2 linked regions of the Xenopus tropicalis genome follow. The protein of the gene in region 1 interacts with the protein of each later gene in a pairwise test. Links are inferred from orthologs where the notes say so. Each region holds a gene or a part of one and is shown on either strand. Other genes may lie near its edges.

The links.
Region 2: the proteins of uba3 (region 1) and cpne2 interact in binary tests that used the Homo sapiens proteins (3 or more experiments, as listed by UniProt). The two-hybrid records come from large-scale screens. The link is inferred for Xenopus tropicalis from reciprocal best matches to the Homo sapiens genes UBA3 and CPNE2.

What each region holds. Positions count from the first base shown.
Region 1 is NC_030680.2:141,975,756-141,979,984, reverse strand, and holds the start of uba3 (NEDD8-activating enzyme E1 catalytic subunit), read right to left. Parts: upstream 2,803-4,229; 5' UTR 2,769-2,802; coding exon 2,749-2,768; intron 2,617-2,748; coding exon of another isoform or gene 2,578-2,616; exon of another isoform or gene 2,495-2,577; intron 2,492-2,494; exon of another isoform or gene 2,473-2,491; intron 1-2,472. UniProt on the Homo sapiens protein: Catalytic subunit of the dimeric UBA3-NAE1 E1 enzyme. E1 activates NEDD8 by first adenylating its C-terminal glycine residue with ATP, thereafter linking this residue to the side chain of the catalytic cysteine, yielding a NEDD8-UBA3 thioester and free AMP.
Region 2 is NC_030680.2:51,390,048-51,394,225, forward strand, and holds the start of cpne2 (copine-2), read right to left. Parts: upstream 2,803-4,178; 5' UTR 2,396-2,802; intron 1-2,395.

The DNA.
Region 1 (4,229 bases):
TGGGAATTCTATATGTACATTTGAAATGAGTATGTGGAAATGAAAACTAAAGATCAGATTTATTTGCTTTGGAAAAATGTACCCCAGCAACCTAAAAGCTGCTAAAATACCAAACTGGAGAGCTAAATAGCTAAATATCTCAGAATATCCCCTATATCAGGGATCCCCAACCTTTCTTACTCGTGAGCCACAGTCAAATGTAAAAAGACTTGGGGAGCAAGCACCATAAAAGTTCATGGAGGAGCCAAATAAGGGCTGTGATTGGCTATTAGGGGCCTCTATGCACCCTATCAGCTTGCAGGGGGCTTTATTTGGTAGGAAATCTTGTTTTTATTCAACCAAAACTTGCCCCCAAGTCAGGAATTCAAAAATAACTCCCTGGTTTGGGGGCACTGAGAGCAACATCCAAGGGGTTGGGGAGCAACATGTTGCCCCTGAGCCACTGGTTGGGGATCACTGCCCTATATCATGCTAAAGGTTTATTTAAAGGTAAACTACACCTTTGACTCACTATAGGATATTTAGATATGAACAAATGAGAGGTAAAACAATGAAGCACATTGGGGGAAATGGTAGAAAACCTTACAGTCCACGTTACTGAACAATTAATGGCAGAAAGAAAAACATATTAAGACATCATGAGTTTATTAATACAGATATGGGGGCCTGTTATCCAGAATGCTCAGGACCTGGGAAACTCCGAATAAAGGGTCTTTTGGTAATTTGTATCCCATTACCTAAAAAGAATAATTTAAACATTAATTAAACCCAATATTATTGTTTTGCCTCCAATAAAGATTTATTATATCTTAGTTGGGATCAAGTAAAGGTACTGTTTTATTATTACAGAGAAAAGGGAATCATTTAACCCTTAAATAAACCCAATAGGGCTGTTCTGCCCCCAATAAGGGGTAATTATATCTTAGTTGGGATCAAGTACAGGTACTGTTTTATTATTACAGAGAAAAGGGAATCATTTAACCATTAAATAAACCCAATAGGGCTGTTCTGCCCCAATAAAGGGTAATTATATCTTAGTTGGGATCAAGTACAGGTACTGTTTTATTATTACAGAGAAAAGGGAATCATTTAACCATTAAATAAACCCAATAGGGCTGTTCTGCCCCCAATAAGGGGTAATTATATCTTAGTTGGGATCAAGTACAGGTACTGGTTTATTATTACAGAGAAAAGGGAATCATTTAACCATGAAATAAACCCAATAGGGCTGTTCTGCCCCCAATAAGGGGTAATTATATCTTAGTTGGGATCAAGTACAGGTACTGTTTTATTATTACAGAGAAAAGGGGATCATTTAACCATTAAATAAACCCAATAGGGCTGTTCTGCCCCCAATAAGGGGTAATTATATCTTAGTTGGGATCAAGTACAGGTACTGTTTTATTATTACAGAAAAAAGGGAATCATTTTAAAAACTGGAGTTATTTGATTAAAATGGAGACTATGGGAGATGGCCTTCCTGTAATTTGGAGCTTTCTGGATAACGGATCCCATACCTGTATTCTCTTCCTGGCTTGCCTTTAGTTTTACTTCTTAGTGGTGCTGAAAAAAATCTACTATTGTCCTTGCTTACATATGAACACTGCAATAGGGAAGATATTAAAAAAGGAAAAGGTTTTGGGTAGGGGGACCCCCCCGAATCCACCTTTTTATGTTATCGAACCTAATTAAAAGTCAGTATATCAACTAAAAGACAAAAATAACGGGGGATGGGGGGGGGAGTAATTGAAATTCTGCCAGAATACAATGAGTACAGCTCTGATAACTGTCAATGACAGGTCAGTCCTGTGGCAGTTAACTAAAGGCTATCAATGTGTGTATGTGTGTGTGTGTATATATATATATATATATAGACATATCTATAGTATGTGCTGGAACTTACAGTCCCCATAGCAGAACGCTGACAGCCTAATTAACCCTTTCGCTGTCAAGTGGTACAGCAAGCAAAGAATGTACCTGCACAATGTCACTACTATATATATATAAATACTAAATATAAATACTATATATATATATAAATACTATATATATATATATATATATATATATAAATACTAAATATAAATACTATATATATAAATACTAAATATAAATACTATATATATATATAAATACTATATATATATAAATACTAAATATAAATACTATATATATAAATACTAAATATAAATACTATATATATAAATACTATATATAAATACTAAATATAAATACTATATATATAAATACTAAATATAAATACTATATATATATAAATACTATATATATATATATATATATAAATACTAAATATATATATATATATAAATACTAAATATAAATACTATATATAAATACTAAATATAAATACTATATATATAAATACTAAATATAAATACTATATATATATATAAATACTATAGGAAGTCCCTAGGGGCTCCTGGGAAGCAGTGCTAACAAGGGCAGGCCTACTCAGCACCAGTGGGGGCTTTACATATAAATATAAAGCGGTCTCCTCTCCAGGGTGCAGTTCCGGGTCCCACTAAGCACCCACAGCCCTGTCCCACCAGCACTAACTCGTCAGGGAGCTCTTCTATCCGCCTTCTTTTCTTCTCCCTATAAAGAGAGAGAGAGAATAAAAGAAGGGTATTTAGGGCCACCCTCCTGGCCTGTCACACAGAGAGGGGGAGAGAGAAGAGGGGAGAGAGACGGTCCCCAGGCTACTGGTGACACAACACAGATACTCACGGCTCTTCAGCATCCGCCATATTCGTCCCAGCCTCTCTCCTCCCACAATGCACCGGGACAGAACGGGTGGGCGGGGCCGAGCGCCGGCGGAGCCATAAAGGCTGCTGTTGCTAAGGGCATCCTTCTGTGTTAGTCATGTGACTGCGGGCTGCCGGGGCCCAGTCAGAGCCGAATGTGGCGGCTTCATGGTGTGAACTGGTCTCCCTGTGTCAGTGTATGTGGGCTCTGGCTTTGGGGGGCACTGTGTATGGGGCTCTAGCCAGCACAACGTTAGGTGGTCGTGTGTATTGGGGGCACTGTTTTTGGGGGGCACTGTGTATGGGGCCCTGGCCAGCATAGATTTAGGGATGCACTGTCCATTGTGCCTGAGTCTGAGCTTTCAGCCCTCCCATGTAACTGGAGGAGTCCCAAGCCGGACTTGGATTTCTTACTATTGAGTGCTATTCTGATACCTACTGGGAGCTGCTATCTTGCTCCCTTCCCATTGTTCTGCTGATCGGCTGCTGGGGGTGAGGGGGGGGGATATCACTCCAACTTGCAGCGCAGCAGTAAAGTGTGCCTGAGTTGGAGCTTTCAGCCAGCGCTACACATTAGAACTGCTTTCAGCTAACCTATTGTTTCTCCTACTCCCATGTAACTGGAGGAGTCCCAAGCCAGACTTGGATTTCTTACTATTGAGTGCTATTCTGATACCTACTGGGAGCTGCTATCTTGCTCCCTTCCCATTGTTCTGCTGATCGGCTGCTGGGGGTGAGGGGGGGGATATCACTCCAACTTGCAGCGCAGCAGTAAAGTGTGCCTGAGTCTGAGCTTTCAGAAGGAGCCAGCGCTACACATTGGAACTGCTTTCAGCTAACCTATATTTATTAATGGGGTTGTTCACCTTTAAGTTAACATTTCTGGGCTTATTTATCAATTTTCAAGTTTGTGAATTTGTTTTTCTAAAACTTGCATATCACCTTGGCGCTTATTTATTAATAAGGAAAACTCGTTTGAATAAAATCGAATATCTCCAATTTTTTGAGTTTATGAGCTCGAAAAACTGGAGTCTGAGAATACAGTTTGACTTTGCCTATAGCAACTCCCATTGACTTCTATAGAAACTCCATTTTATTCAAACACTCTCCTATTCATATTCCAGTCTCTCATTCAAATCAGTGCCTGGTTGCTATGGTAATTTGAACCCTAGCAACCAGATGCTGAAACTCCAGCCTGGAGAGCTGCTACGCATAAAAATAAATAATTCAAAAACTATAAATAATAAAAAAAGGAAGACCAATTGCAAACTGTCTTAGAATACCATTCTCTAAATCATACTAAAAGACACTATTTATTTTTTTCCCAGATATAACCCACAAGGACTGTCTAGATGACATATTCAGAACTGTTGCTGTTAGACAGTTAAACTTGTTTGGTACATAGAAAGGCTCCTTTTTATATTGGGCATTAAAGCTGGCCATACACACACCAATAATATAGTA
Region 2 (4,178 bases), about 91 Mb from region 1:
ATTTATAAGCAAAAATAGAGGAAGCAGACCCAACGTCCAGGCGCGATTGTGGGATCTGCTTTCTTTATTGTTACAACACCTGTTAAACGCAGGACTTCCAAAAAAAATAAAATATAAGTATTTTTTTTTTTTACACAAACATGCCTGATTTCACAAGTTGAAAGTAAACCATGATAAATCATTTCCCAGCATTCCTTAGGCTCACGGTTGTAATGCAATACCTCCCTTAGCTTCCTTCATTGTGAAGTGAGGGATTGTGGGACTTAACTTCCTCTGCTTTTCATCGTGGGTGGTGCACTGATTCTCTGGACAGCAGAGGAACTTCAAGTCCCAGAATCCATCTGAGAACAGAGACAGACATGTCTGTGTAAAAAACTAAATTTAGATTTATTTCTGGAAGTTCAGAAAAGTGTTTATGCATCTTGTCTACATCAGCCCAAGTGAATAAGGTCGTGTCAAAAATGGGGTATATTTTACCATTAAAAAAGTATATAAAGACAATCTCCAAAAAGCTGCTAAAGCAACTTACAATTACAACATTCTTATAGGCAAACTTAAGGTAAATTTCTCTCTTATAATAGTCTCAAATATTGTTTATGAATAAGATGGGGTACCATGATAACACAGCTTTTACTGGATAAAAGATGATAAACCTATTTATAAATAGGATATATGCATTGACAGTAAATCCTACTTAAAACAAAGCTGGCCTTTAAAATATTACCCAAAATATTTTCATTTAGAGCTAAATAAATTTCTCTTGCTGTTTAACTTAAAGGAACAGTAACACCAAAAAATGAAAGTGTATAAAAATAATTAATATATTATATACTATTGCTCTGCACTGGTAAAAGTTGTGTGTTTGCTTCATAAACACTACTACAGTTTATATAAATACCCTGCTGTGTAGCCATGGGGGCAGCCATTTAAATTGAAAAAAGGAGAAAAGGCACAGGTTACTAAGCAGATAACAGATAAGTAGCAGATTCCCATTGTATTCTACACAGTTATCTGTTATCTTCTTATGTAACCTGTGCCTTTTCTCCTTTTTTCAGTTTAAATGGCTGCCCCCATGGCTACACAGCAGCTATTTCTATTAACTATAGTAGTCTTTCTGAAGCAAACACGCAACTTTAACCAGTGCAGGGCAACAGTACATTATATTTTAATTATTTTAAAACATTTTTATTTTTTAGTGTTACTGTTCCTTTAATAGATGAAGCCACAATATGCCTGACTTTCTGGTCTGGAACAGCAATACAAAGTTGTTTGATAGGCGATATTAATCTGTACCATTAACAGATAAAAGGAAGTAGAATTATATAATAAAGAGCAGCCACTGGGGCTGGGGATACAAGAAGTGACACACAGAGGAGGAATTATGACAATATTATATGCCATTTAATTCTGTTAAATATAGTTCAGAAATTACCTATTGAAATGGCTGCTTTTCCACAAAAAAACAAGAGACCATTGATTATAGAATCTACAGTGTATCAACATATGACATTGTGTGTCACAACCCACATTTCTTTCTCTTGTGATTTGGTTAATAAACACCACACCACAGAAATAAAAGAGATTCAGACATAGATGCTAACTAGTTGTCACTTTCCCTCTACACTTCAGATGATACTGACAGCTTGTGCTAAAAACACGTTTTGGGCAAAAGTTCATATATAAGATGGAGTCCTTCCAAGATCTCAGCAGTTTGCCAATCTCCCCGGGTACTGAGCTTGGCACACTGCACTGTTTTTAGGTACTTGCCTGATTTTCAAGTTGTAGCCTTCCAACTGTTGCTCATTAGAGCTCCACAAACCCAAAGGATGGATTAGTCCAGCAGGACCGGCGGGGCCGCAGCCTAGAGCGGGTATCCGTGCTGCACACAAAGCGAAATGCCCGGGGGAAGAAGAGGCAAGGGAAACGGAAACTACATTAAAGTCTATAAGATGAGAACGACCGGGCAGCCTTTGGTTAAACACCAGAATACCGGTGCGTCAGACCGTGTCATCTCCCACATATGCGTCACTGGGAAAAGTCGCACGGACACTTTCTATGGAGACTTTGCCTTGGCCATTAACACCCCGGTGATTTGGTTATAAATACACAAGAAGTAGCAGCTCTAACCCCTTCAGGTCACTTATCGCTTAAAGTACAACATAGCCCTCGCTCGCTAAAAGCAGTGAGTAGAGCGCAGTGTGCGCAGAGTGCAGTTCCACAGCGACAGAAGCTCGGTATCGCACAGTGTACATGCAGCTGAGTATGTACCAACACCCCCACTTAGGGAGCAGCACACAGATCCGAGTAGTGAGCTGACGATACGTACAAAGCACGATTCTGTAGGGTGTGAGAGCCAGGTTAGGGCACAGCGCAAAGCCTAGTAGCCACTACTCACCGCTCGATATCACAGTGCTTCCCCGAGTGCTGCCATGTGCGACACCGCCCCGGGCTCCACACACCAGGATCGCAGATCCTTCTTTCTCCTCGGCAGCTACTTGTGCGCTCAGCGATATCTCCGGGCTGCCGTGGGCGTTATCCTGCAGTCTCTCTGGACTGTCTCTCTGCCCCTGTCCCGCGTAGCCTGAGCAGCTGTCTCCTCCCTTCTGGGTGGGAATAGGAAAGCGTTTATTTGCTCATAACCCGAAGTGGCGCCAACTGCCCTGTTTGCGCTGTCACTTCTCTGTGACTCCTTCCTACTTTGCTCTGGCGCTTCCTCATCTCGCTCTTTCTTCTTGGTACCACTTCATCCTCAGGATCAACTCGATATCCTATGGCTTACTATGTGCACGTCTTAATTGGATCCCTTTCCTACCTCTAGCAGCACCCTCAACCTTCCCTTTCCAGCCGCTTTATCTACTCTATTGCCTGTTATATTCCTACCTCAAGCTCTACCCTTTCCCTCCTGCAGGTGATACTTGCACTGATCTACCTGCTTTTGCTCATCACTTATCTCCAATGCATGTGCCCCATTTTTCCTAGTTCTGCCCACCAACATGTACATTTTTATTCTGCTCCCCTTGTCAAGCTTGGCTCCTTTTCATCCCTCACTCACCTGCATACTCCTGTTACCCTCCTTTGTCTGTACTTCTCTCCATCCCAGGTATCCAAACATATCATTCCAATTAGTTTTTATTATGTATGATTTAATTCAGGTCCTCTCATATTTATAACTGCCAGGGCAGAAGAACAGTCATATATGCCTTGAGAAGCTCCCCATGAACATTGCCTGTGCATGCTATTTTAAATACACTTTTTGATTGTTTACAAAATATCTTCATGTTGCTGGTCTTTTTTGCAGTATTTAGATCTTTTTCTGTGCACCCCAGGCAAGTGATGTAGCCGCGTGCCACCCTTGGTTCATATATATTTGAAAGTTGCTTAGAATTATGAACTTTCATTAGGCAAACATTATTTTTGGGTTTGCATCCCTTTAATAATCACCAAATTCCTAACTCAGAAAAGGTGTGCTGTTACACTAGATTATTATATGGCTAATGGCTATGGCAAGATACCCCAGGGAAGCATAAAGCCAACAAAGAGTTTAGCCTACTGCAGCTTTTGCTGTGATCAAAGTCAGTTATAGTGGGAATTGCCTGCAGTCACTGCTCTTGATTATCACTGGTAAAGCACAACCTGCAAGAACCTTTCCTTGGGCAGCAGTTTACCAGGGATGAACCCTTGGAAATATAAAGGCATGTGTAAAATCACCAGTTTAAAGTTCAAGGGAACAAATCTTGTGTTTTACAATACTGAATCACTCCCCCACCAAATCCTGAATCAATATTGTTTAGGTATTGTAGTTAGAAAGCTATAATTAAATAGCAGATGTTAAAAAAAGACACAAGTCCATTTAGTTTAACCTTTTGTCCAAGCAAAACCTGCCTACAGCTAGCCAGTAAATGTTGCAGATTCACACACAGTGAGTCAGCAACTGTTTGGTCTGTGAATGGGGTACTCTGGCTACCTGCACCACTAATATCTTGGCAAAAATTGGGTAGCAGGTTTAAAAATCCAATTGGGAGAAGTACACATTGACAAGTTGGTACTGTAGTCTGAGCGAATCTGTCCTGTTTAGCTTTGCTGAAAAATTTGAGAAACTTTAAAAGGATTCGTGAAACAGCAAAAAATGAGCCAAACGTGGAAAATTACACATTTTCGCACCCGTTTTGTGAAAAAAT